4 linked regions of the Mus musculus genome follow. Each later gene encodes a partner of the first gene's protein in a complex. Links are inferred from orthologs where the notes say so. Each region holds a gene or a part of one and is shown in the gene's direction. Other genes may lie near its edges. The genes, in order: Phldb2, Ppfia1, Ppfibp1 and Erc1.

Region 1 (6,101 bases):
ATGCTCTCTTGTGGAGTTAGAAAGACCACCCATCTAGCTGATTTCCTTTAGTGTTGAATTGGTATGCAGGACTAAAGGGATACCAAGTTCAGATAAATAGACACATGTATTCAGCTAGGCGGCAAACACATCTTCAAGGAAAATTAATGGATTGCATACATGTATCTGATGATAAATCTGTGAAAGTTGTGGATTAGTTACTTTTCATTGCTGTGACGATATACCGGACAAGAATCCACTTAAAGGATGGTTGTGTTTTGGCTTGCAGTTTGAGGGTATACAGTCCATTGTGGCAAGAAAAGCATGCTGGTAGGAGTGAGAAACCGCTGGTCTCATTTATCTGCAGTTAGCACGCAGTGAATCAGAAGTGAGGCTGAGACATCTCAAAACCCTTCCCTTAGTGACCGACTTCCTTTATCACTGAAAATGTCTATAGCCATCCCAAGCAGGGCCACCCCTGGCAACCAAGTGTTCAAACAAATGAGAATCTGACCAAGTTAAAAAAAAAAAACAACAACAACAAGGTATAAGGGGTGGAGAGATGGCTCAGAGGTTAGGAGCACTGACTGCTCTTCTGAAGGTTCTGAGTTCAAATCCCAGCAACCACATGTATATAATTTTGAGCCGGGTATAGTGGCGCACACCTTTAATCCCAGCCCTTCGGAGGCAGAGGCAGGCAGATTTCTGAGTTCAAGGCCAGCCTGGCCTACAGAGTGAGTTCCAGGACAGCCAAGGATATACAGAGAAACTCGGTCTCGAAACCCCCCCCCCCGAAAAAAAAACAAGGTGTAAGAGAGACCACAGTCTAATATTTTATGTCACATTGTTATAAGAAAATTAAAATGTAAAAAATGTAGATTGATATGAAATCACTAGTAATATTACCACCCCAGGAACAATCAGTAGTAACTTTTAATGTGAATTTTTTTCATCCCATTGTTACTGCTGTGGGAGAAAGGTAAACACAAGGGGACAAATGATGCTGGGTTCTATGGGGACTCATCAGTGAAATAGCAAGAAGCATCAGATTTAAAATATGGATGAAGGATGGTGATGACTAGGCTTGTGGATAGAAGCAGTGAAAGAGAAATAGACACAACAGAGGAGGTCATGATGACTCTCCAAATCCTGATCTAAGTGCCTATAAGAAAACTACTGGCTGTGCACATTATCTGCTCAATGTGTGTGTGTATACATATATATATATGCACATGTATGTATATATATATATATATATATATATATATATATATATGCATGTGTATATGAAAGTAACTATACTCATTGAATGTTTTTAATGTATGTGAGAATATATTATACTACAAAATATATTTTAAATGTGGTATTAAATGGTTTCACACTGTTCACTCCTGTGATGAACCATAGCTTTTCCACATATCACTGGGCATTTAAAGTTATTTCTTCTATATTATAAATAACCCTGAAACTCTTTAGGGCCCATTTCTTTTCTTATTTTCTCAATTCTGAAATATTTATGTTGGGAGAACTGGCCGAGACATTAAAATTTCAAAATGGCAAACCCACCAAGGTCAAAATGAGTTCAGAAAAAGACTAAGGCTAAGTGAGGGTTGTCTTACCTTCACTCTGACAAAGCATGGCAAGAAATGTCACAAGTGAGACTGATGTGGCTTTCAACTTTGGAACTGGAAATAACTGATGAGGGCATTGTCTTGGGGTAGAGGAGCACTGGCCACAGGCCATGAACTGCAGGGCCACAACTCACTGAAATCCAAGTATTAGGCTTAGCTCTGATGATTTGTGTGGATTTCTAAGCTATTGTTTTGAAATATATCATTTTAACATACATTCAAGTAGAGCTTTGAAAGACAATGAATCCAAGGCAGCATTTCATGGGGGTGGGGAGAGACTGTAGCTCTCTTGGGCAATTCCTAGCACCACCTGGATATAAAGCAGGGACATTTCCTTGACTCCTGCCTGTAGGGGAGAAGCATTTCCATGCTGAGAAGACTGAATTTCCCTGGAGAAACATGATGCTAAGCTAAGAGAATGAAGTCTTCCCTCTATGGTATGAGGATGTGTGTAATTGAAAAATGTTTTAAGGTTTTTTGTTTGTTTGTTTGTTTGTTTGTTTGTTTGTTTTCCTATAGAGCGATGGAAGTCAAGGAGATGAATATAAGAAAAAATTCTACACATAATCTTTTCCACCAATCATTAGTGTCTAAAGTCCCCGAGGGCTGGAGGAAAGTCTTAGCCCTGCATGTACTTACTGAAGTCAAATTATGTTTTTCCCTTGTTAATAATATAAAGATAGTTTCTTTTAATATAAGCCTTTTCACTTTCAGGGCTAGTTTTAATTCAACGAAATTTTCATAGATTAAAATTTTAAGTCAATGTTGACTCTCAGATCTAAAACCCAAAAATATATACTTATTTTTTTTTTAAAAAAATACTTATGGAAGATAGAGTCCTATTTTATCCCTTGAGTGATGGGTTAGACTTTGGTAGGTAGAGCAGAAGGCACACGGTGTTTTTGTTAGAAAAGAGAGCTCACTACCAAGGACAAGCACAACACATTTTGGATGCCAAGGAATTTGAAGAATAGAATAATTTAGGGCTTTTAAATGTGCCATCTTGACCATGGGACAGCAATCTTGGGAACACCCTTTGATCCAGTGTCTCTTATCTCTTACCTTTTTCTAATGAGCTTTTTGCTGTCCACTTAAGAAGTAAACTTCTATCCCTTCCCTACAAAAGAACCACACCCTCACATTCTGGATCAGTGTATAACATAAACTTTCTTCCTCTGTCATGACATGAGTATTGTTTCTTCAAGACTGTTTCTGAGCTGATGATGAGTCTAGCAGAAACATTTAAAGGAAAAACAATTTGGTGGTTCTCTTAGGCACATAGAAGATATTCAGGAAGACAGTCGTTCTCCAGAGACTGAAACACTGGGCGCAAAATTCTTCTCTTACATACCAACCTAATCCTGAGTCATTATTTTACTAGGGATTTGTAAAATATATCCCTGAACAGAAGTCCTTATTTTTCACCTTTTGGTACACTTTCACGTGTGTTTAAACTAAAACTTTCTCCTTTTCCCCTTTACAGGATCCAGCCATATTATGGCAGAAGATAGCCACATGCAAAAGCAGCTGGAATTCCAAAATGGTAGCTTAGAGGAAGGATTTGTGGTACGTTCCCTGGAGAACGAGCCCCAAAACATGATGGAGAGCCTAAGCCCGAGGAAATACTCATCAAGTCTGAAGTTTAAAGCCAACGGGGACTATTCTGGCTCCTATTTAACCCTCTCCCAACCGGTGTCTGCCAAGAGAAGCCCTTCTCCAATGGGCACCAGCGTCAGGAGCAGTCCCTCCTTGGCCAAAATCCAGGGAAGCAAACAGTTCTGCGATGGAATTGATAAAAATATTTCCATGAAACCTCCTATTTCTTTCCTCAGTTCTGCAGCCTCTCTTGGCGGCTATCCTCTTGGGAAAGCAGATTTGGATCATTATACTGGTCGAGACAGTGAGAGGTCCACCAGGCTCTCAGAGAAGCCTCCCTATTCCAGATACAGCTCTAGGAATAAATCTCATGACAGTGTCTACTTTCTAGGGGGGCTGGAAGGAAGAAAAACCTCTGGCTCGCTCCTGACCATGTGGAACGGAAATTCCTTGAGCTGCACTGGCTCGTCACCCATCAGCAGGTCTGGGGCAGCGAGCATGCCTTCAAGTCCAAAGCAAGTCAGGAAGATGAACCTTCAGGACCACTCGACACTTCAGCCCAGGTTAAGCAGGCACAAGGAGCCGGCCTCAGAAAACGTCAGTGTGAGAACAAGGAAATACTCAGGGAGCAGTCTGAGTAATATGGGTGCCTACAGCCGATCGCTTCCCAGGTTGTATAAAGCCACAGACAACCAGATGTCGCCTCTCAGCCTGCCTCCAAGAAGTTCCCTGGGCAATTCCAGAAGAGGTCAGTTAGGAGAAAAGGATCTACCTCATAGCCTAGTGGATAGTGACAATTACCTTAACTTTTCTTCTCTAAGCTCAGGGGCTTCACCCTATAAAACCTGTCTGTCAGAGGGAAATCCTTACGTAAGCTCCGCCCTCAGTGTTCCTGCCAGTCCTCGTGTGGCTCGGAAGATGCTCCTGGCCTCCACCTCCTCTGATGACTTTGATAGGGCTTCATACTCAGGGACCAGCCCAAGTCATTCCTTCATTTCTGGAGAGCCAGACCGAGTGCTTGTGGCCAGGAGGAACTTCTCTTGTGGATCAATGGAGCTTGATGACTCTGATCTGGAAAGCCTAAGACAGTCGTCAGAAACTCCGCAGCCGGTCCTTCGAGAAAGGAAAAGTAGCATTAGCTCCATCTCGGGACGCGACGACCTGATGGATTATCACCGAAGACAGAGGGAGGAGAGACTCAGGGAGCAGGAGATGGAGCGACTGGTAATCTAACTCTTTTGACTTCACCGTTCCCCTGACTTGCATTCACAGGGCTGGCGACAGACACCAAGGAGTCCATTCCACATGGAGAGATGGAATTTCCACTGGACCAGCCGCAGTCCCTCCTACTTCTTGCTCTCTGTCCTATAACTCTGTCCTATAACTCTTTCTTATCTATTTTTTTCAGACATTTTTGGGCATTTTGAAACTTCCAGAGCTCACTAGTGCCAGAGCCTTGTGTTTATTTAGTTGTTCTGCAGAGTTCTAGAGTCCTTTTTCTATTCTCTTCTCTACCTTACCATTATTTTCCCCCTTTCTTTCATGTGCTGGGGATTGTACCCAAGGGCTTGCACAACCACTAGAAATCCTGGGAAAAGCTAATGTCTAGTGCATTTTGCTGAATTTCTTCTATCTTATGAGCTTTCTTTTAAGAACAGGAGGGGGTGGTGGTGTTGTTTACATCATTAAGTTCGATAGTATATACTTAAGACAGACAGTCGGTGAGATAATAAGGCAAGAATTTGTCAGTACAGCAAGTCATCTGGAAAGCCAAGCTTTGCCTCAATCTCCGTGGTACTCAGTTTTCCCCACACAGTTCACATAATGCCAAACTCCCATCAGCTGTGCCTCTGACTTCACACAGCACCACCAAACTCCAAAAACAAAATGCCTTGAGTTCATTCTATTTTTTTTCCAGTCTAAAACCAGTTTCTGCTTAACGTAAAGAACTAATTGGACATAAAAGAACAATGATGGAAGAATAAATTCCTCAACAGCCCTGCTGATGAAGGAAAACATTCAAAGGCAGTTTTCCACTCCCTTTTTAGTGGGTTTTTATTTCAGAATGAGTACATGTCAGAGGTTGTTTTTTCTTCGCTGGTGATTAATGGTCTCCTTAATGAGAAAAGCTATAGGGTGGCAAAGCTGCTTTCTAAAAGTGTAAAGATTATCAGAGGTATTTTAATTGCTTTTTAAAATAAAGTATGTTGGAATAAGATTTCTCAATCGTGGAAAAATTAATGAGGGCCTACAGTACAATAAAATTTATATTATATGGATAGAAACCATCTATACTATGCAACATCTGTTTGACAGTTGAGAAGAAGAATCACATATCACTCAAAGTTTTGGTTGGTTTATCCCATTCCTAACTAAAAGCACTGGATAAAAATATGTATGTATTAAATATTACCCTAGGTAATTAAATATTCACTGTGCATATCACTTAGCAGTCCAGCATTACATTCCCTTTGTTGTTATAAGTTATCATTATTCATTATTATAAAAAAAAACACTGTGTCTAGGCTTGGTCCATTGACATAATTCAGAAGGTAATTCAGTTAGCAAACAGACATCTTATCTCTGGACAGTAAACAGTCCTACACTGTGCTAAACAGCTATTACTAATGACCTCAGATAATTAACTTTGATAATTTATTAGAAAATCTAGAAGAGCCTTTCCTGTGGGTTCTCTCATCCTAGAGATCTTCCTTTATCTACACAATGGGTCTTGTATCAATCACAAGAATGGAAAACCGTCAGGAACCTCATATGCTTTGAGTTTCATCTTTAGCATATGGAAGTGTTGGTGGATTTCTCTGTCCTCCATATTCTCCAAATCTAAGACTCCTGACAGACCCAGTAGTGACTTTCCTTGTTGCTTGCAAGGCTGAG
Region 2 (6,101 bases), on another chromosome or scaffold:
CATCTTTCTCTACCTACCTACCTTCACTGTGTGGCAACAGAAAGTTTCTGGGATGGTAAAGCTTGGAACTTGTCTTTCTGGATATTCTTAGAACCCCAGTCTGCTCTGTGTGGTTAAAGCCCAGGGCAGGCTTGGCAGCGTCTCATGGACAACTTTGAACATTTTCACAGGAGCCTTTGTGGTGGCTTTTCATGAGCACAGGCTTCTGTCGATGTGGGGTCCTTCACACAGGAGCCCACACCTTTTAAGAGTGCGTGCAGAATTCCCTGCTGGGACGACTTTAGGTTTCAAGATCTCCTGGTAGAGAAATAAAATTTGCAAACCTTAGAAACATTATGCCTTTCCTGTGTCTCTGTGTTGATGTCTTACTGAGTGCTGCCCTAATACTGAATAGATTTAAAGATCTCACTGGGGGAATTCTAAGAGGTGAGGCTTCTTCCTGTCTCATGGGTGTTTGCATTTTCCTGCTAACGTTTTTATTACATTTAGGTATTTGTGTTTATCTGTCTGTGTGCACATGCCATAGTGAGGTCAAAGAACAATGCAGGAGTGTCAGTTCTCTTCCCCATGTCGGTTCCAGGGAGGAACTCTGTTTTCAGACTTGCTGGCCAGTGCCTCTGCCCACTGAGCTCTCTCACTGTGTTTGCACTCTCAGTCCCCAGTTCTTTACTACCCAGGGAGCTCTTCCTAAGTGCTTTGCCATCTCGCATTCAGGCAGCTCAGGTGAATGACAGTTGTTCCGTCCCTGGATTTTAGCAGCTTTATTGCTGAGGTTGAGCTATGGGCCTGGGCAGGTAATATTCTTAGTTTTCCCCACCACAGGCAGCTACCTCTGTCTATATCGATGTCACTGTGATGCAGAAAGGATACAGGCTCTGGTCCACTGCTCTTCCTTTACTTTGCTTCTCCCTGCCATTACTCAGCCTAGCTAGCAGTTCCTTACAGAATGGGCAGTCAGGATGGTCAGCTGGATACTTTCTGATGATCACAGGGCACCTCACATGTCCACACACAGTGATTCTAGTTCTTTGTAGAAATAGATGCTTGTCTCAGGCTAGGAAGTGTGAGCAGCATGCTTTGCAATGGAGTGTGAAAGAAGGGGCTTGTATCACTCGCTCGCAATTCTCTTCCCAACTGAGCTGTTAGGCAAAGACTTCAGCCTGCTCTCCCACACAGGATAGACTGTGGACACTGAGGAACCATTAATAAGAGGTGTGGCCATGATCCTACTTTGTAGCCTAAGTTTTGCTTAGTCTGGATTGTATCTGTGCTGTGCAGCGTTTTCCTCTGTCCTAGGGCATCTGGCTCTGTGTGCCTCCCTTTCCTAGGTTATCTCAGCATCCTAGGAGAAAAGGAGAGCTCCCTGGACTGAGCCCTCGCTGCAACGGCCACCACAAAGAAGTGATTGGTGTGCTTGGGAAGCATGCAGATGGGACAGTGCTGCCTCATTTGGCCCTTTCTTTATAGGATCTTCTTCATTCTGCCCTTCCAAGAATGCAGACCCAGGCCAGAAAATAGCTAAGGGTCCCAGTGCTGATAGACAGTGACATCTTGTGATGATCTAGAGTGCTTAGGGACAGTAATAGAATAGTTCTTTTAGTAGAGTGTCTTTGTGCCTTGGCTGGAGCAGGTGAGCAGTGGAGGGAGGCTGTTTCTATTTCCCAGCATCAAGTCACCTGCTCTCTTTGCCTGCAGTGTGCTCATTTCCACAGGACAGACCTGTTTAGTCACTAGAAGTGATGTTTTTAACCTAGGTTTCCAGTTGGTTCTTAGTCTATAGAAATGGGTCCCTGTTCATACTGCTTAGCACCACCCGGGTCTTGGCCTGGGGGCTGTTGTGCAGCTTCCTGTCTCAGTTGGTCCTGTCCTTTGTGAATGACAGGGCTGACTGACTTCCTTCCCTGCTCGATGGTTTTGTGTGTCTTGTTGCCTTGTGCTGGTGGTTCAGTGCTGGGAGTTACTGAGGGCACAGCTGCACTTCTTGTGGGTAAGCATTCAGTTCTTCCCCTCCGCAGGTGCTCTGTGCTGCTTGGAGGTAGATTCACCCATTCCCAGAATGCTGAATTCTCCACAGTGAATGGGGGAGCCTTTCACATGGTGTTTCTGGGTCTTTTTTAGTATTATGCTTTTCCAGTTTCTTGATATACAAAATTTCCCAGATTATGTTCCCATGACAACAAGCCTCTCAGCATCAGGTATTTTAGTATGTTGTTGATTGACTTGATGACATTATAGATTCTTGCACTATTATTTTGGAAGTGTTTACAAATGTTTGGAAGGTATTTAGATGTTTCTAGCCATTATTTATCCCTTTGAGACAAAGTCTTGCAGTGTTACTCAGGCTAGTCTCTGACTTTCAGCTTCCCATCTTGGCCTATTGAATAGTTGGAGGAACTATGGATATGTGACCCTGTATTTGGCCAATTGCTGGTTTCTTTTTTCTCCCATCTTTTCCACCTATCTTTACTGGATCTTGCCCTGTATCCCAAGTCAACCTTCAACTTGCAGCAGTCCTCAGACCTCAGCCTCATAAGTACTGGAATTACAGATTCTGGTTCATTTTTTTGAGTCAGAAAATACTGTGCAGTGTCGCTTCTAAGCATATTGAGAGCTGGGGAGTCATCACTCTGTGGCCAAGTTGTACATGAGGCCTGGTTCAGTCTGCACCACACCACGCCAAACACATCTGGATGTGTTATGGGGCTGTGCAACCATCATCCACGACTTGGGAGGTTGAGCAGCCCAGAAAGTTGACTATGATGTGCCAACCTTGAGATGGTGGCCTCCAGGACCACATGGGCTGGTGGGATGGAGTGTGAGGCTTTGCATCCTGTCTTGGGCAGTATGGTTGTCCCCTCTCAAGAAAAGAAAGGAAGTTTTCTGGTGTCAGGTAGAGAATTCTGGAAAACCTAAATAGATGAAGTTAATTGGTAATTGTTGCTTCAATCTGTACCGTGCTGAGTCTTTTCAAGGAAAAGCTGCTTTATAGCACTCCTCTCCTTTGTGCTTTGGATGGAAGGAGTATTTATGGCTTGTTTCTAGTTGTGCATTTGTCTTTTTCTTCACTGAATCCTGTTAGCTATTGGTTTGTCTCTTAAAATTTTTTCTAATCAACTTTTACTGGTTTTTAAATAGACATTTATGAAAAAGTGTTAAAACCGAAGTCAAAACCAGTCAGAGATCATTTTAATGAGTCAAGTTGAACCTGCCCTTCAAACTTGTTCATGAGTCGTGGTCATTCTTAGTTGTTATATTAACAGCTCTTCAGAAGGGGCGCTGCAAGTTGGCTGTGGTTTCCTTGTGGCTTGTTTAGATAGGTTATGACTTCTAATGACTCCTTTCGTCTGAAGTCTCACTAACTCTTAAGTGATGGGGATGGGAGATTGATTGCCCAAGAGTTACCAAGTCCAGTGCTGTCATTAGTTTAGTCTTCAGAAAATGTGTCCATAACTAACGTCACCCTCTTACTAAAAGCAGACTCTAGCATATGGGGACATGAACCACGAGTGGATCGGCAATGAGTGGCTGCCCAGCCTGGGCCTGCCGCAGTACCGCAGCTACTTTATGGAGTGCCTTGTAGATGCCCGGATGCTGGACCACTTGACCAAGAAAGACTTGCGAGGGCAGCTGAAGATGGTCGACAGCTTCCACAGGCAAGTGCTCACTCGCCATGCTTTTCTCTGCCTGAGCCTTGCCCTGTTGCTAGCTCCACATAATATCTTTTTGTTGTGTCTTTGTAAACAGAAACAGTTTCCAGTGTGGAATTATGTGCCTGAGAAGGCTAAATTATGACCGAAAAGAACTGGAAAGAAAAAGAGAAGAGAGTCAGAATGAGACAAGAGGTGAGTTCCCTACCTGGGCAATGGTCTGGCTTCTGCTGCTCGTGCTCCAGCTTCAGTAGGGTGGAGCATCTGCTGAGCAGCACTAGGAAGAATCCTGGAGGGCTTAGGTGGAGGCACTGGCCTAACCTGAGGAAGATGGAAAGGAGTGATAGAGAGCTTGCCTGTACAGTCATCAGTACTGGTACTTTCCCTGTGAAATTAGTGTGTTATCCTTTGGTTATGTGCGTCCTGTGTAAATATCAACATATTTCCAAATGCAGAACAGTGATGAGTCTGCTGCATACTCTCTGGGATAAGTATGAAATGCATGGTTGAGGGTATTCAAGGGTCTTGATCCCACAGGAAAGGTAGGCGGCCCCAAGGCTCCCCTCAGCCTGCTCTTGGAGGATAGCAGCATGGACAGGAGGACATACAGAAGCAGAACCGGCTGCAGGGCCTTCTTCCCTGCCGCAGCAGCAGTGATGGAGACAGTTACTTGCTTGAAGAGACGTCAGAAGTCAGGAAGTCATTGATGATTTTAGCAGTGGTTCTGAACTGAGTGGACACTCGATGTTTTAGTCTCTGTCACTTAATCTCTTTCGGCTCACCGCAGCCCTAGAAATGTTTTTAATAAGAAAAACAAAATATGAAAAAGACGAGATGTGTCCAGGCAGTGGTGGTGCACACCTTTAATCCCAGCACTCCTGAGTAAGCAGAGGCAGGAGGATCTGTATGTATTTGAGGCCAGCCTGGTCTGTAGAGTAAATTCCAGGACAATCAAGGCTACACAGAAATCCTGTCTCCAACAACAACAGCAACAACAACAAAAAAGAGAAAAATGGAAACAAACTGCACATCTGAAGGTCAATTTGTCCCATGCTGTTGCCTGAGTCTTGGGAATGGCCTCTTTTTCAGAGCAGCATCTGGGGTCAGAATGTTGAATCTGCTGCACTATTTTCTGTGGCTCTCTGCCTTCCTGCATTTGACAGGAACTGTCTTTGGAAGTGATTGGGCATATTTTTAGACTGACTATTCTTAGCTCACCATTAGTGCTAATGGAATACTATACCTGTTACAAGGTGTGGCCTCCAGAGCCTCTGTGCTAGAGAATGTCTTTTAGTTTCTTTGTGAGTACTGGGCATGGTGACATATGTCTGTGATCCCAGCACTCTGGAAGCTAAGGCAGAAGGACCATGTTAGTTCAAGGCCAACTGAGGCTCCAAAGTGAGACCCAGTCTTAAGAAAATAAATGAGAAATACATTGAAGATATTTGCATCATATGCTGGCTAGTTTCATGTCAACTTGACACAATCTAGAGTCATTAGAAAGCAGGGGGCCTCAGTTGAGAAAATGTTCCGATAAGATCTAGCCATAGGAAAACATGTAGAGCATTTTCTTAGTTAGGATTGAATGAGGGTGGGGGTGGGCAGCCCATTTTGGTAGTACTGGATTCTATAAGAAAGCAGACTCAGTAAACCATGGGAGCAAGCCAGTAAGCAGGGTTCCTTCATGGCCTCTGTCTCAGCTCCTGCTTCCAGGTTCCTACCCTGTATGAGTTTCTGCCCTCACTGCTTTTTTTTGTTTTTGTTTTTGTTTTCGAGACAGGGTTTCTCTGTGTAGCCTTGGCTGTCCTGGAACTCACTCTGTAGACCAGGCTGGCTTCAAACTCAGAAATCCGCCTGCCTCTGCCTCCCAAGTGCTGGGATTAAAGGCGTGCAGCGCCACTGCCTGGCTCCCTCAGTGTTTTTGATCATGAACTGTTAAGTGGAACTCTGAGTGAAATAAACCCTTTCCTCCCAGGTTGCTTTTGATCATGGTCACCACAGCAATAGTAACCCTAACTAAGGCACGTCATAAAGTAAATTAGAATAAAAAGGTTCACCTTGAGCAAAAGTTTGAAGCAAGATACATTGGCTATACAGAAGAGTCCCTGGAAGACTGAGGACCACGGGCTGGAGAGCTGACAGGAGCTTCCTCAGCACCGCCCTGGTTCCCTGGGTCATTGCACATTTCTCGTGGAGGAGGGAGTGGGGGTGCTCAGCATCCGAGCAAACTGCCTTCCATGGGTGGCTGCCTGGAACATGCAGGCTGAGCAAGTGTGGCTGTGCAGGTGGCTCTGTCTGGGATGGGAAGAATCTTGCTTTGGTTCTCAGGTTTGTAGGCTGTCACTTCATTCTATTCCCGGAAGTGGAATGAGTCCTGTCCCTTTCCCTGGGTTCCCTGAAGTAGTTCCAGTGGGTTCTTAGAGTGGCGTGGCTAGAATTCCTCTATGAGGGTTG
Region 3 (6,101 bases), on another chromosome or scaffold:
CCATAATGAGCTTGGCATAGTTTATAGCCGCTGTCTTTTTTAAGAACCACATTTATGGATTCTCAGTAACCCTTTAATACTATTACATCTCCATTCTTGAGACTAAGAGACAAGGAGCTGAGAAGTTGGGGAATGTAACCAGTTGTCCATGGTTACTAAGTAGCAGGAAGCCATAGAGAATTTGAACCTAGGCTGGTTCCAGGTCCTTCTTTGCATAGCGCACTATTCCACCTGGGACAAATACAGTGACATTTGACCTGCTTCTGCCCACGTCCATGGGGTCAGATGTCCCGAGGGAATGTGAGCAACCTCAACTCAAAAGTCACAGGAAGCACTTGTAAGACCTGCATGCCTGAAAGACATGGAGTGACACTGGAAAGAGTGACCTGTGATTCCTAAAAGGAAAGTCCCTGTTAGGATCTGGTTCCCTGGGTTGGCTCCAGGAACAGAAAAAGGATCTTAGTAGGAAACTGGCAAAAAACAGGAAGTAAAAAAACAGTTTGGGAGCCAGTGAGATGGCCAAACAGATAAAAGTGCTTGCCTTGCTAGCTTGACAGCATGAGTTCTATTCCTGTGACCCATGCCAAGGTGGAAGGTGAGGACTGGGGCCACAGAGTTGTCCCCTGACCTCTGTGTGTGTGTGTGTGTGTGTGTGTGTGTGTGTGTGTGTGTGTGTGTGTGAGGGGGGGAGTGAGAATGGTGTACATGTGAGCTTGATATGTGTGTGTATATGAGAGTGAGAAGAGCTTGATGTTTGTGATTGTGTGAGAGAGAGCTTTGTACATATGTGTGAACTTGGTGCATGGGGGGAAGACAGACAGACAGACAGAGGGGAAGAGAGGAAGAAGAAGAGGAGGAGGAAGAAGAGGAGAGGAGAACAGAGCTTGGTGTGTGTGTGTTTTCCTCCACACACACCATACACATGAACTAATGAAAACAATAAGCCTTAAAATTGGCAAAAGCTGAATAGAGTCTATACTAATTTTATTTGTGTTTCTTAATTTTGATGTGTGCCATAGTTTCATAAGATGTGAATATCAGGAGAAACTATGAAACACAGAATTCTACACTGTCTAGAAGCCCCTAAGTCTAAAATCATTTTAAAATAAACCATGTGTTTATTTATTTGCTATTTTTAAAAAATAAGATCTCACTGTGTAGCTCTGGCTGTCCTGGAACTCTCTATATAGCCCAGGCTGGCCTCAAACTCACAGAGATCTGCCTGTCTCTGCTGCCCTATTGCTGGGATTAAAGGCGTGCGCCAGAATGCCCAGACTTAAAAAGGGTTTCAAATGAAAGTAATCCTTGTAAAAAAGAAATCTTTCAAATATATTTCAGAAGTAATTAACATTTTATTTATATTGGAAACAGTACACATTTAGATGTTTCTTAATCTGATAGACTTTAATTAAATGAAAGTAGCCTATACTGAAGTGTTTGGAATGAGTATCTCAGTCTTAGATCAAAATGTTAATTGCTTTTTCTAATGTATTGTAAGACGCTAATTTTAATAAGCTAATCCTGCAAAAAAATTAGGAAATAATATTTGCTTGTTAGCCCCAAGAATAAACTACTATTTTTTTTACTCTTAAAAATATTTTTATAGAAACTTAATCTCTTTTATTTATTTTTTTCCCCAAGAAATATGTTATCAGTCACAGTGTGCTATGTACCTGCATGGGCAGCCTCTGCTTATTTTCTGGGTGTGTTGATAAGATTTCTCTCGGCACTGCCCTGACATCACTTACCGCTGAGATATTTGTTTAGGTGTGTGGGGCATGGTTGAAATTGCTCCCGGTACCCTCAGACTGCCCAGTGTTTCCTTGAAGACATTTATTGGTGATGTGTTGAAACAGAAGTCTCCATTTCTTCTCTCTTTTACTATTACCCAAACCCTTATACTGAGGGACATAATTGTTTTCAACATTGGTCACCAAGTCTGCTAGGTGAAGCAGTAATCCTAATCAGGGGACTTTGCAGGCCAGGAAAGCTGACAGAAGTGTGCTGAAACCACGGAAAGCAGCTTGGCCGCTGACCTTCAGGCGGGGCGGGACCTGATGATACTATTCTATCAGAACACCTAGACAAGTGATAAAGACTTGTTAGATTTGGGGGAACAATATAAATTTGAGGTTCTAGAGAGGGATTTGTTGAGAACAGAAAAGGAGTTCTGTTATGAAATGAAAACTGAAGTCACAAGCAGAGTGATTGCACTCTCATGGCAGAGTTGTAAGATTCTCCAGGGCGCCCCCTCCCCCCTGCTGTGGGCCAGCACAGTGAGCTCCTGTTTCTCCTTTGCAGGATGACCTACTGTCCCTGAAGGTTGTCAGTGTGCTGCACCATCTCAGTATCAAAAGGGCCATCCAAGTGCTGAGGATCAATAACTTTGAGCCAAACTGTCTAAGGAGGCGGCCGTCTGATGAGGTAGCATCTCCGATAAGAAGCTTGCACATGTGAACGGGGCAGTCCATGTGTGGAAAACTTGGAGCCATTTTCTCTTGGAAAGTGTAGAAAGAGCTGGTTTCCTCAGAGCTCAGATCCAGAGTCACTGACTTGTGGACTTTCCTACGTCCCTGCCTTTTGTACCCATAAAGCTTCCACTGTGTAATTGAAGCCAAACGTTGTTTTCTGCTTACTCTTGCTTCCTCCTGTTCACAGACTATACTTTTTCCTGCCACCTCAATCCACGGAGTAAAATGTCACTGTAAATATTTCCTTTACCTTTTCTTACTGCTTCGTAAGAAAGCTCGAATCTGTGGTACATGTTCTTTCAAAGAGCAGTCAAATTAGCAAACACTTATTTGGCCTTTCCTTTGAACACTTCACAGGACACCGGATAGTATGCTCCATGGGCCAGGCCTGTTAGACTGCGTGTGCAGGTTCAGTATCAAGGGTCCTATCATCAACACCTAAAGTGTACAGTATCTGTTTGTTTCCACAGAATAGCATCACCCCATCTGAGGTTCAGCAGTGGACCAATCATCGTGTGATGGAGTGGCTTCGCTCTGTGGACTTGGCAGAATATGCCCCCAATCTCAGAGGCAGTGGTGTCCATGGAGGGCTCATGGTAAAGCTCTTTCAGTTTGAAATTGATTGCTTGGTTGGTTGGTTTCCTTTAGTCTAAAGGGTGAGCAGTCTTGGTCTGAAATCTGCATTGCTTTAAAATCTGTAAACTTTTGTTTCCATGTCACAAGTAGAGTATTCTACACACAGCCATGATAGAATAGCTTTGTGTGCTAGAAGAATTGCATCAAGTCACCATGATGTGCCTATGAAACATAAGTGAATCTATGTTGGGATTTGGATTCTACCCCCAAAATTAAATTTCACTTCATGCTGATATTCCAAACTCTGAACACCGGTTCCAAGCATTGCAGCAAAGGACACTCACTGTACATCCATTTGTTTTCAATAATCCTGGTAACCCCAACCGTCCCAGGGTGTTCCCTGGATTTCACTTGCAGAGCAGTTTTAGTGTCTTTCTTTAAATTAGGCTTAAACCCATTTCTTTTTTATTGCTCCTCACCACTGAGTAACACCCAGCCGTCTCTCATGTGATCCTGGTCTTAAACTCCTGCATGTGTGTAGACAGTATTTCTGCACACCAGTGTTCCATGAGCAGTTGCTTTCAGAGGCAGCATTCCAAATGGAGCTGTGCTGCTGCTATCCCCTGAAGCCTGGGTTACACATGCCTCTCTCGGGCACAGTGATATGTGAACTAAAAATCAAAGTTCAGGCTGGAGAGACAGCCAAAGCATGGTTGCTCTCGAGGAATTGGGTTTAGTTCTCAGTACCCACATGGTGGCAATAACAATCTTTAACTCCTCTTCCATGGCATCCGAGACCTTCTTCTGGCCTCCATGGGCACTACTGTACACACAAGGTACACACACACACACACACACACACACACACGTAGGCAAACACTTTTACACATAAAAAAATTATTTTTAAAAAAACGAAAAAAGAAAATCCATACCCTGGGCTGGGGCATTGGGAATTACTCATGTCAGCGATTTTTGCAGTGTGAAGTACCTCCATTTCAACTGTGTATAAGCTATGATACTTTTTACCAATCCCAATTTTTCTTACAGGTTCTTGAGCCTCGTTTTAATGTAGAAACTATGGCCCAGTTACTGAACATTCCACCAAATAAAACCTTGTTGCGCAGACATTTGGCGACCCATTTCAACCTTCTGATTGGTGCAGAGGCCCAGCACCAGAAGCGAGATGCCATGGAGTTACCGGATTATGTACTGCTAACAGCCACTGCCAAAGTGAAGGTTGGTTCAGGATTTTGGCATTTAATCATTGTCCGACGTTTGCAAAGGCCCCATTATTCCACTTTCTAAGATGTACTCAGTTTTATTAATGAGTTTAAAATATCTGTATGTACACATATCTATAAATTTCAAGCCCAATTAAGGGATTGCATGTTTGAAAGTTTCTGCTGAAGTCATTTGTGTTATTAGAGTCGAAGAAGATGTGGTCAGCTTCTGTTGTCAGTGTATTTTGCCAATGCTGAGGACTCTGACGTGAGTCCAGTCTGCCACTGCAATGTTTTTGCTTTTCCCGTTGGTAAAAGGAGAAGTTAGGGTGAAAATAAGTGAGTAGAGAACATATACCTTGCAGGCGTGTGGTCTGCGCTTGACCCCGGGACTGCTGACAAGCAAATGGACCAACAAGAAGGCTTAGCTCCTGAGTACACCTTAGCTCCCGTGGTTTCTAAGTCAGAGAAATCTTAAGAACAGAGCCAAATCTCCTCCAGCCGGTGGGTAGCTACCATCATGGTGGTCGAGCTGTGCAGTTTCAGCTAGTGCAAGATTTACTCAGGGCACTGGCAGCAATACACCAGGATCCATAGGAAGGTTTTCGGGTTTCTTAATGTAAAATGTGAGTCAGCATTCCTTTCCAAAAGAAATGCTCTGCAGATAAACCAGTATATCCTCTATAAAAGAAGCCATAAAAGAGGATAATTGGAAAAAATTCAAATGAAAAGTATCTGCTATGCAGATTCATGCAGGCCATCGTTGGCACATCACCTGAGGATGTAAAGGCCAAGAAGAATCAGAAACCAGAAGTTAGGATGCTCAGAGAGAGCAGGCTGTCAGGGCTGCCAAGGGAGCAAAGAAGGCTAAGCAGGCATCAAAGAAGACAGCAAGGGCTGCTGCCAACATCTCACAAAGGCTACACCTGAACAAGAGATTGTGAAGGTTGTTGCTCTGTGGGTCGGTGGAAAATGCTAATTTAATAGATCAGAATTTTAAATGAAGATCCATCTTTAATTCAAAAAGGAAGAGAGTCAAAACCAGAGGTTGTGATACCTGCCTGTAATCCAGCATGCAAGAGTCTAAGGCAGGAAGACTGCAAATTCAAAGATGGTCTGAGCTATATATTACAGCGTGGGTGGTTTTTACTTGCCAAGGTTTGAGGCTTGTGCCAAATTCAGATTCCCTCTTTCTTCTTTTGAGATACTCCCACATCAACTTATCTGTATATTATTTTCACATCCTTAATATGAAGACAATTAATGAGTTCTCCTAGAAATGTATGCTGAGCTCTTTTTGTTTTTACCCTGTCTGCCTTCCTAGCCTTCTCCTGGGGGACTGTGTACTGATTACGATGACATTTCTCCCCTAAAGATCAGTGGACTCTTTCTCTCCAAGGGTGTGAATTCTTTTCCACTCATCAGTCCTACTATTAAGGAGAACAGGCAAATGAAGTAACCCCAGCTTTACCACCTGCCTTCCCTTCCTGTCTCCCTCCCTCCCTACTTCTCCAACTTGGGATGAAACCTAGGCTCTTAACCATATTAATCCAGTGCTCTAAAATTGATGGGTACACCCCAATCTGCCACTTTTCAATTTTTTTATTTTTATTTTATTTTTTAATTGTGAGTCATGCTCTTGTTAAGCTGCCCAGGCAGTATTTAAGCCTGTGGCTCTCATGCCTCAGCTACTGAGTAGCTGCAGTTGCAGGCAGGCCCATGCCACAAAGGCCCAGTGAGGACCACTGGCTTTCACTGATCTTAGACTGAATAGTTTTGCAAAATTTGGCTCATCCCTGAGAGGAATTCGATTGCATTAAGTCCTGTCTAATCC
Region 4 (6,101 bases), on another chromosome or scaffold:
GTTACTGATTTATAGGTGTTCTTTTTTTTGGGGGGGGGGTTCGAGACAAGGTTTCTCTGTGTAGCCCTGGCTGTCCTGGAACTCACTGTGTAGACCAGGCTGGCCTCGAACTCAGAAATACGCCTGCCTCTGCCTCCCGAGTGCTAGGAATAAAGGCGTACGCCACCACGCCCGGCTTATAGGTGTTCTTTATGTATTATACTATTAGTCTGTGTCCCATGCGTGCATTGCAAACATCTCCCACCCATCAGCTGCTTTTCTTTCCTAATAATGTCTTCTAAGAGAAAGTCCTTAGTTTTGTTTTGGGTAGCTTTCTTTGGTTTTGTTTCATTTGAGTTTTCTTGTTTGCTTGTTCATTTGCTTTGTTTTAGTTTTAGTTTTTCTTTTTGTTTTTCTTTTTCTTTTTTTTAGTTTGGGACATAAGACCTTACACAGGCAGGCTGACTTTGGTCATATTAGCTGATGATGACTTTGAACTCTTGACCTTCCTGCCTTCTGAGTGCTAGAATTGCAGGCCTGGATCCACACACATCTGGCCTTTAGTTTTAATATAAATTAACTGTTTTTCTTTTTTTCGTGGTGAGTGTTCTTTTGTGTTCTATTTAAGGAATCTATGCATGATAACTTTGGCATTGTATATATTGATGTTGGAAGGGTACAGAGAAGACCAGCATGAGACTGATTGTATTTGCAAAGTGTCCTGTTTTAACCTTCACATTCAGTAAAGATGTCATGCTGTTTTTTTGTGTTTGGTTGCTGTTTGGTTGGGTTTTCTGAGACAGGTTTTTCACTATGTAGCCCAGGCTGTCTTCAAACTTTCAATCCTCCTGACTCAGCCTGAATGCTAAATTTATAGGCATGTGGCATTGTGGCTAGCTCTTCTGTTTTCTTTTAAATATCTTCATGGTTTTTTATTCAGACATACGTTTACTATCCATCCGGAACTGATTTTGTGTATGATTGCAATATGGATAAAAGTTTTCTTTCACATAGCCCCATGTATCAGAATATCCAGCCTTTCCCCTCCACACAGGAAATGCCTTTGTCATAAAGCAAGTGGTCATGTTTGTATAGGGTTTTCCCTGAACTTTTTTATAGACACAGCTGCCTAAGATTTGGGGGGAGGGCAGAGTGGGGGAATTGCACTGACTCTCTGAGTTAGTTTGAGCAGAATTAATACAGTATCAAGTCTCTAGTTTTTGGACATGTTATATCCTTCCATTTAAGACATGTTTTGCTTCTGTAAATATACTTAATAGTTTTTAGGTAGAGGTTTCACTAACCTTCCAAGAAAGCAAGTTAGGTGACGACCATTTGTGCCATTCCCCATACCAGCTGAGAGTGCGCTTTTGAAGAGTTTGATGACGAAAAGCTGCAGTCAGCTTTAAAAGATGTGGTTTCAGGGGTTCTTTTCACGATGGAGGAAAGGGACCTGAGGGGGTGGCCCAGAGGGTTCAGAAAGAAGGAATAAAGGGTACACTGGGGTCATTTTGAGGAAGGGTATTTTGTTTGTGACGTCACCTGGTAGCAGAACTACACTGTCATAGGCACTATGCCCTTGCCTCTAGGCAGTGTGGAATGGTTGCGGTCCGGCTTGCTGCTCTCCTGTACTCCAGTCTGCATTGGGAAATCTTGGTTTGTTTTAGCAGAGTACACTTCGCTGTTTTCTCTGCTGGAGATAATGTCTCTATATCCATTCTTCAGTTTCAGTCTCCCCTTCCGTTTCTGAGTTAGGTTAGGGTTTAATAGAAAACAGTTCTCCTACACACACACACACGCACACATTCTACAACAGACTTGACTTCTAGTTATCCTCTGTCTTAGTCAGGGTCTGACTAATACAACCTCCGACATCCCAAGTAGCTGGAACCCCAGGTGTGTCCCACCACACCAGTTTTTCCATGGAATCTTACAGTATCCACACAACTGAAAGGACATTTTTTGAATGGATATTTAAGAACTTCAAGCTTAAGTTACAGAAAGGTCTGACTGATTCATGGGAACAAACTTAGTTTTGCAGGTTAGTAAAACTGTCCTGTTCAGAAATGTTTGTGGTGTCTTTGCATGAAAAGATTTTAACACATACAAAGAAAATTATGTGTAGAGAGGAAGTTACAAGCTACCTACAAATTATGATGAACTATAGAAACCGAACAAACAGTCACAAAAGCCCTAGTATTTTTCACTATAATATTTACAGTAAGGGAGTTGGTTTGCCATTCCATAAAATAGAGGATGTGTGTCAGCTCCCTCCCCGTAACAAGCCTGTCATCTCACAGAGAAAGGAGGCATGCTGGTCTCCGCTTCAGAGATTGCACTCACGAGCAGTTGCCATATTGCTGTTGAACCTGTAGCAGGGCAGCTAGTGCTCATGTTGTGGCTGGAGTACACACACACACAAAGAAAGGTCAGCCCAAAGTCCCACAGTCCCCTGCAAAGGCACAGCTCCTCCTAGGAGCCTAAAACTTTGGACCCCTTAAAGGTTCAGCTATCTCAGTAATGCTCCCATCTGGTGCCAAGCCCTTAGCACCTGACTATAGATCAAGCCCTCTAAAACCATGAGCTGAAATAAGTCACTCCTTTAAAGTGGTTTGTGTCAGGTATTTTGTCGGGGGGGGGGGGGGCGGAGAACTAATACAAAATCCAGTGGATACTATGATACTAATATAGTGCCCTCTAGCTAGTGTGTTTTATAGTGTTTTTACTTTCTTCTTTAACATATCCTTGTGGATGCTGGGTTCGCAGCTCAGCCATAGTGTTTGCCCAGCATGCACTAGGCCCTAGAGCCCATTCCCAAGGTCAGTTATGTGCCAGCTTTGGAGATTTGATTTGGAAGTACAGTATATTGTTAGGTGAAAATGGATTAGTTTAACTCCTGTCTTGAATCTTTTAAAGATGCACTAAGGCTTAACGTGGTCTAAATATGGTTCTTGAGCCTCCAGATCAGGGTCAACAGTCAACAGAAAGAAGATTGCCAGTCTCCTCTGATGGCTGCACTTGAGAAGTACCAAGCTCATTCATGGCTCAGAATGTCTAGTCAACAAACAGTGGGGTCCTGAAAACTTGGTTCTCTTTGCCACTTAATCTACTTTTTCTGGGTCATCTTCTCCGCTTGATAACAGTAATTACAGTAGTTAACCTTTTTTCAAGAATTTTCAGTGCAGTGGGCATTACCCTGCCTTTCGTATGAGATTGTCGTTAAATCCTCTAATAAAACTGCCCTGTGAAAATATTACTGGTCTATCCTACTGAAGGGGAGGGAGGTCAGGGTCACATCAGCCAATAAATGGCAGAGCTGACACTGAGATCCAGGCTGTGTTCCAAACTGGGACCTGAACTGTACACTTGACACTCAGTTTCCAGTTTCCCTCCTCCCTCCCCTGGAACCCTGCCTTCTACAAAATAGAAGCAGCTCTTCTACAAAATATTTTAGAATTTGAGAGCCATGTTACCCACTCATTCCGCGCTAGCCCATCACAGGTGGTTTCTGTTCTCATGGGTGCCTCTTCTGTCCCCTGTGTGAGTCTGCCTTGTGCTTACAAAGCTCACCCCTGGGTGTTGCCTGCTGCCCACTGATCTGCTTTTTCCTAACCTTCCAAGTCACCTTCTAAGAAGACGAGAGCAGGGCCAGTGTGTCATTTAAAAGCACATGATTTCCTTGTAGTTTGCACCAGTTGGGGTTTGCGCTCTAGCTTCTCTTGGAGTCTGGCCCTTGCCTATCTCTTCAACTCCATACCCCCACCCCCACCCCCACCTCACTGTAGGATCCAGCTTACCCGAGGTTCCTTTGATCTGCCTCTGATCTCCCAAGTGACCCAGATCCTCACCACCTTTAGTGGCTTCTCATACGGCCCAGAGTGAAGTAACCATGTGTCTTCTCTCCCAGTATGTCCTCAAGCCTCTGTGTGCACTGGACTGGGTTGTGACTTACATGTTGATGTTCTTGTCCTGCTGTCAGCCTACAAGGAGTTTCAGCACAGGGTCTCGCTCCTCGGCCTTTCAGACCTCACACAGGGCACTGGTGACGCTAGTTAGAGGAGGACAGTCCGGGGCAACTGAGAACAGCACATTGGGGGTGTGTCTCTCCTCAGCAGTGGGCTAGGATATCTATCAGAATAACCAAGCTGCCTGAGGCCCCTACAGAAACACAGCTGTTTGTAGCAAAGGGAAATCTTTGTGGAAGAGCTTCACACAAAGTTGAGATCCTCAATCACCCAGGCCTGTGAGTCTGGACGCCTGGGCACAGCCATCCACATGAAGTCAGCACTGGATGTTACAGTGTGCAGCCTTGGACTCAGCACTGACTCCTCTGGGCCTTACTTTCATGAAGAGAGTCTAGGAATGTGTGTGTTTTGAACATTCCTTTTGATACAGGGACATCAACTCTGCTTGTCATTTCTTTCCTGATGAATTCCCACTCGGTACAAATAACCTGAACTCCACCTGAACCCTGCCTCTTTTCCCTTTCAGCTTCAGAACGAGTTGGAGAAAGTTGAAGGGGACAACGCCGAGCTGCAGGAGTTTGCCAACACCATTCTCCAGCAGATAGCCGATCACTGCCCTGACATCCTCGAACAAGTGGTCAATGCCCTGGAAGAGTCCTCCTGATGTGCTCCTGACAAGGAGGGTGACCAAGGAGCCAGAGAGGGAACCTGAGGAACAGGTGTCTGAGCCGCCACCACACCAGACTCTGCCAGCTGGATGTGCCAGTCCGGCCGTCGGTGTCTGTCATCGTACTCTGCCTTCTGCTTTGAATGTTGCCTGCTCAAGTCTCCCTGGTCTCCATGAAGAACTGCCCTTGGCATCAGCAGTGGAGTGCTGCGAGCTGCACTCTGCCCTTCCAGAAACAGGAAGCCAGAAGCCACTCAGCTCATCTGGAGCCCACTCAGATTCCGTGCTCCGGGAGCTTGGAGCTGAAGCTTTAGCACGAGTGCTTTCTCCTCAGAGGGTTACAGAAGGAGGGAGGAGGTGACCAGGGACAAAGAGAAGAACGAATACTCCTCTCTGCGCCCGCGCTGCCCTCCTGTTTACCATCATGAGCCCCAGGTACAGGCCAGCTTCATGCAGCTTAGCTCTCAGCCTGTTGCCTGTCTCACCTGCACTGCTTTTAGTTGACAGGAGAAGGATGTTCACAGTGGTCACCCTGATCGCTCTTTAAGTCCTTTGACCTTCCCATGCTACATTGGTAGGCTAAATGTCTGACTGAAGAGAAGAGGGCTTAATTTGTAGGGCCCTCTTGTCACTGCCTGCAGTTTTGTTCCTCAGAAGCTGTCCTGGAGGGCCAGGCTGATTCCTCCTGAGCATCACCCACAGTGCTCTCTGCTCCCAACACCTTGCCCCAAGCTGCTGTTGACCAGGGGTTGCTAGAGTATGTGATCCACTGCCCACCTTCTCAGCTTTACTCTCAAGATACAACCACAGAGCCACAGCCTTGTACCTGCCTAGAAACTTCTTTTGGCACAACTGAGTTTGTCTTAATGCACACACATTCCCTCCTCCAATTCATTCACTCAAAAAATAGTATGAAATGCCTACTTGTGTGCACATCCATGTGCACAGTGTCATCCTTGGAAAAGCCTCGGATAGGGATGGTGTGGAAGCCCTGTGAGATGTGCTCAGTTGAATCATGGCAGTGAACGCATACCTTCTCCCTTCCTTCTTCGCAGACCAGCATTCTTTGTTCTCCACCCTCATGGCATCTATGGGCTTGGGTGAGCCACCTCTCTGCCTGGAAGGTCCCATGTGGTAGGTCAGGATCTTTGCTGTCAGTGTTACTACCCTGAAACATGTTCGTTTGTGTCAGCTGCCTGCTTAACACAGCCATGCACACCTCATGGGCTTGGCCATGCTGCAATCAGATGCAGATCCCCCCAACCCCATCCCCAGCTGTAGAGGACAGCTATCAGATGGAGTCGGGCCCTAAGAGAGTGCAGCTCATGTCTCATTCTTCATCCCTGAAGCAGACTCCTGACACTGCTGTCTTCTGGTGAGAGGCTAAGGCCTCTCAGCCTGCATCTCCCCTTCTGCCCAGTTAACACTCTCAAAGGAATTTAATGTTGCCCACAAATCTCTCTCACCCTCAACCTAGGACATCATGCGGC

The links.
Region 2: Phldb2 (region 1) and Ppfia1 share a complex: the UniProt entries of both Homo sapiens proteins name them as parts of the cortical microtubule stabilization complex. The link is inferred for Mus musculus from reciprocal best matches to the Homo sapiens genes PHLDB2 and PPFIA1.
Region 3: Phldb2 (region 1) and Ppfibp1 share a complex: the UniProt entries of both Homo sapiens proteins name them as parts of the cortical microtubule stabilization complex. The link is inferred for Mus musculus from reciprocal best matches to the Homo sapiens genes PHLDB2 and PPFIBP1.
Region 4: Phldb2 (region 1) and Erc1 share a complex: the UniProt entries of both Homo sapiens proteins name them as parts of the cortical microtubule stabilization complex. The link is inferred for Mus musculus from reciprocal best matches to the Homo sapiens genes PHLDB2 and ERC1.

The regions. Positions count from the first base shown.
Region 1 is NC_000082.6:45,823,088-45,829,188, reverse strand, and holds part of Phldb2 (pleckstrin homology-like domain family B member 2), read left to right. Parts: intron 1-1,962; exon of another isoform or gene 1,963-2,028; coding exon of another isoform or gene 2,029-2,047; intron 2,048-3,093; coding exon of another isoform or gene 3,094-3,107; coding exon 3,108-4,430; intron 4,431-6,101. UniProt on the Homo sapiens protein: Seems to be involved in the assembly of the postsynaptic apparatus. May play a role in acetyl-choline receptor (AChR) aggregation in the postsynaptic membrane.
Region 2 is NC_000073.6:144,482,585-144,488,685, reverse strand, and holds part of Ppfia1 (liprin-alpha-1), read left to right. Parts: coding exon of another isoform or gene 1-55; intron 56-3,474; coding exon of another isoform or gene 3,475-3,477; coding exon 3,478-3,653; intron 3,654-3,744; coding exon 3,745-3,842; intron 3,843-6,101. UniProt on the Homo sapiens protein: May regulate the disassembly of focal adhesions. May localize receptor-like tyrosine phosphatases type 2A at specific sites on the plasma membrane, possibly regulating their interaction with the extracellular environment and their association with substrates.
Region 3 is NC_000072.6:147,023,214-147,029,314, forward strand, and holds part of Ppfibp1 (liprin-beta-1), read left to right. Parts: intron 1-2,301; coding exon 2,302-2,424; intron 2,425-2,941; coding exon 2,942-3,067; intron 3,068-4,094; coding exon 4,095-4,283; intron 4,284-4,289; exon of another isoform or gene 4,290-6,101. UniProt on the Homo sapiens protein: May regulate the disassembly of focal adhesions. Did not bind receptor-like tyrosine phosphatases type 2A.
Region 4 is NC_000072.6:119,574,132-119,580,232, reverse strand, and holds part of Erc1 (ELKS/Rab6-interacting/CAST family member 1), read left to right. Parts: intron 1-4,470; coding exon 4,471-4,608; 3' UTR 4,609-6,101. UniProt on the Homo sapiens protein: Regulatory subunit of the IKK complex. Probably recruits IkappaBalpha/NFKBIA to the complex. May be involved in the organization of the cytomatrix at the nerve terminals active zone (CAZ) which regulates neurotransmitter release.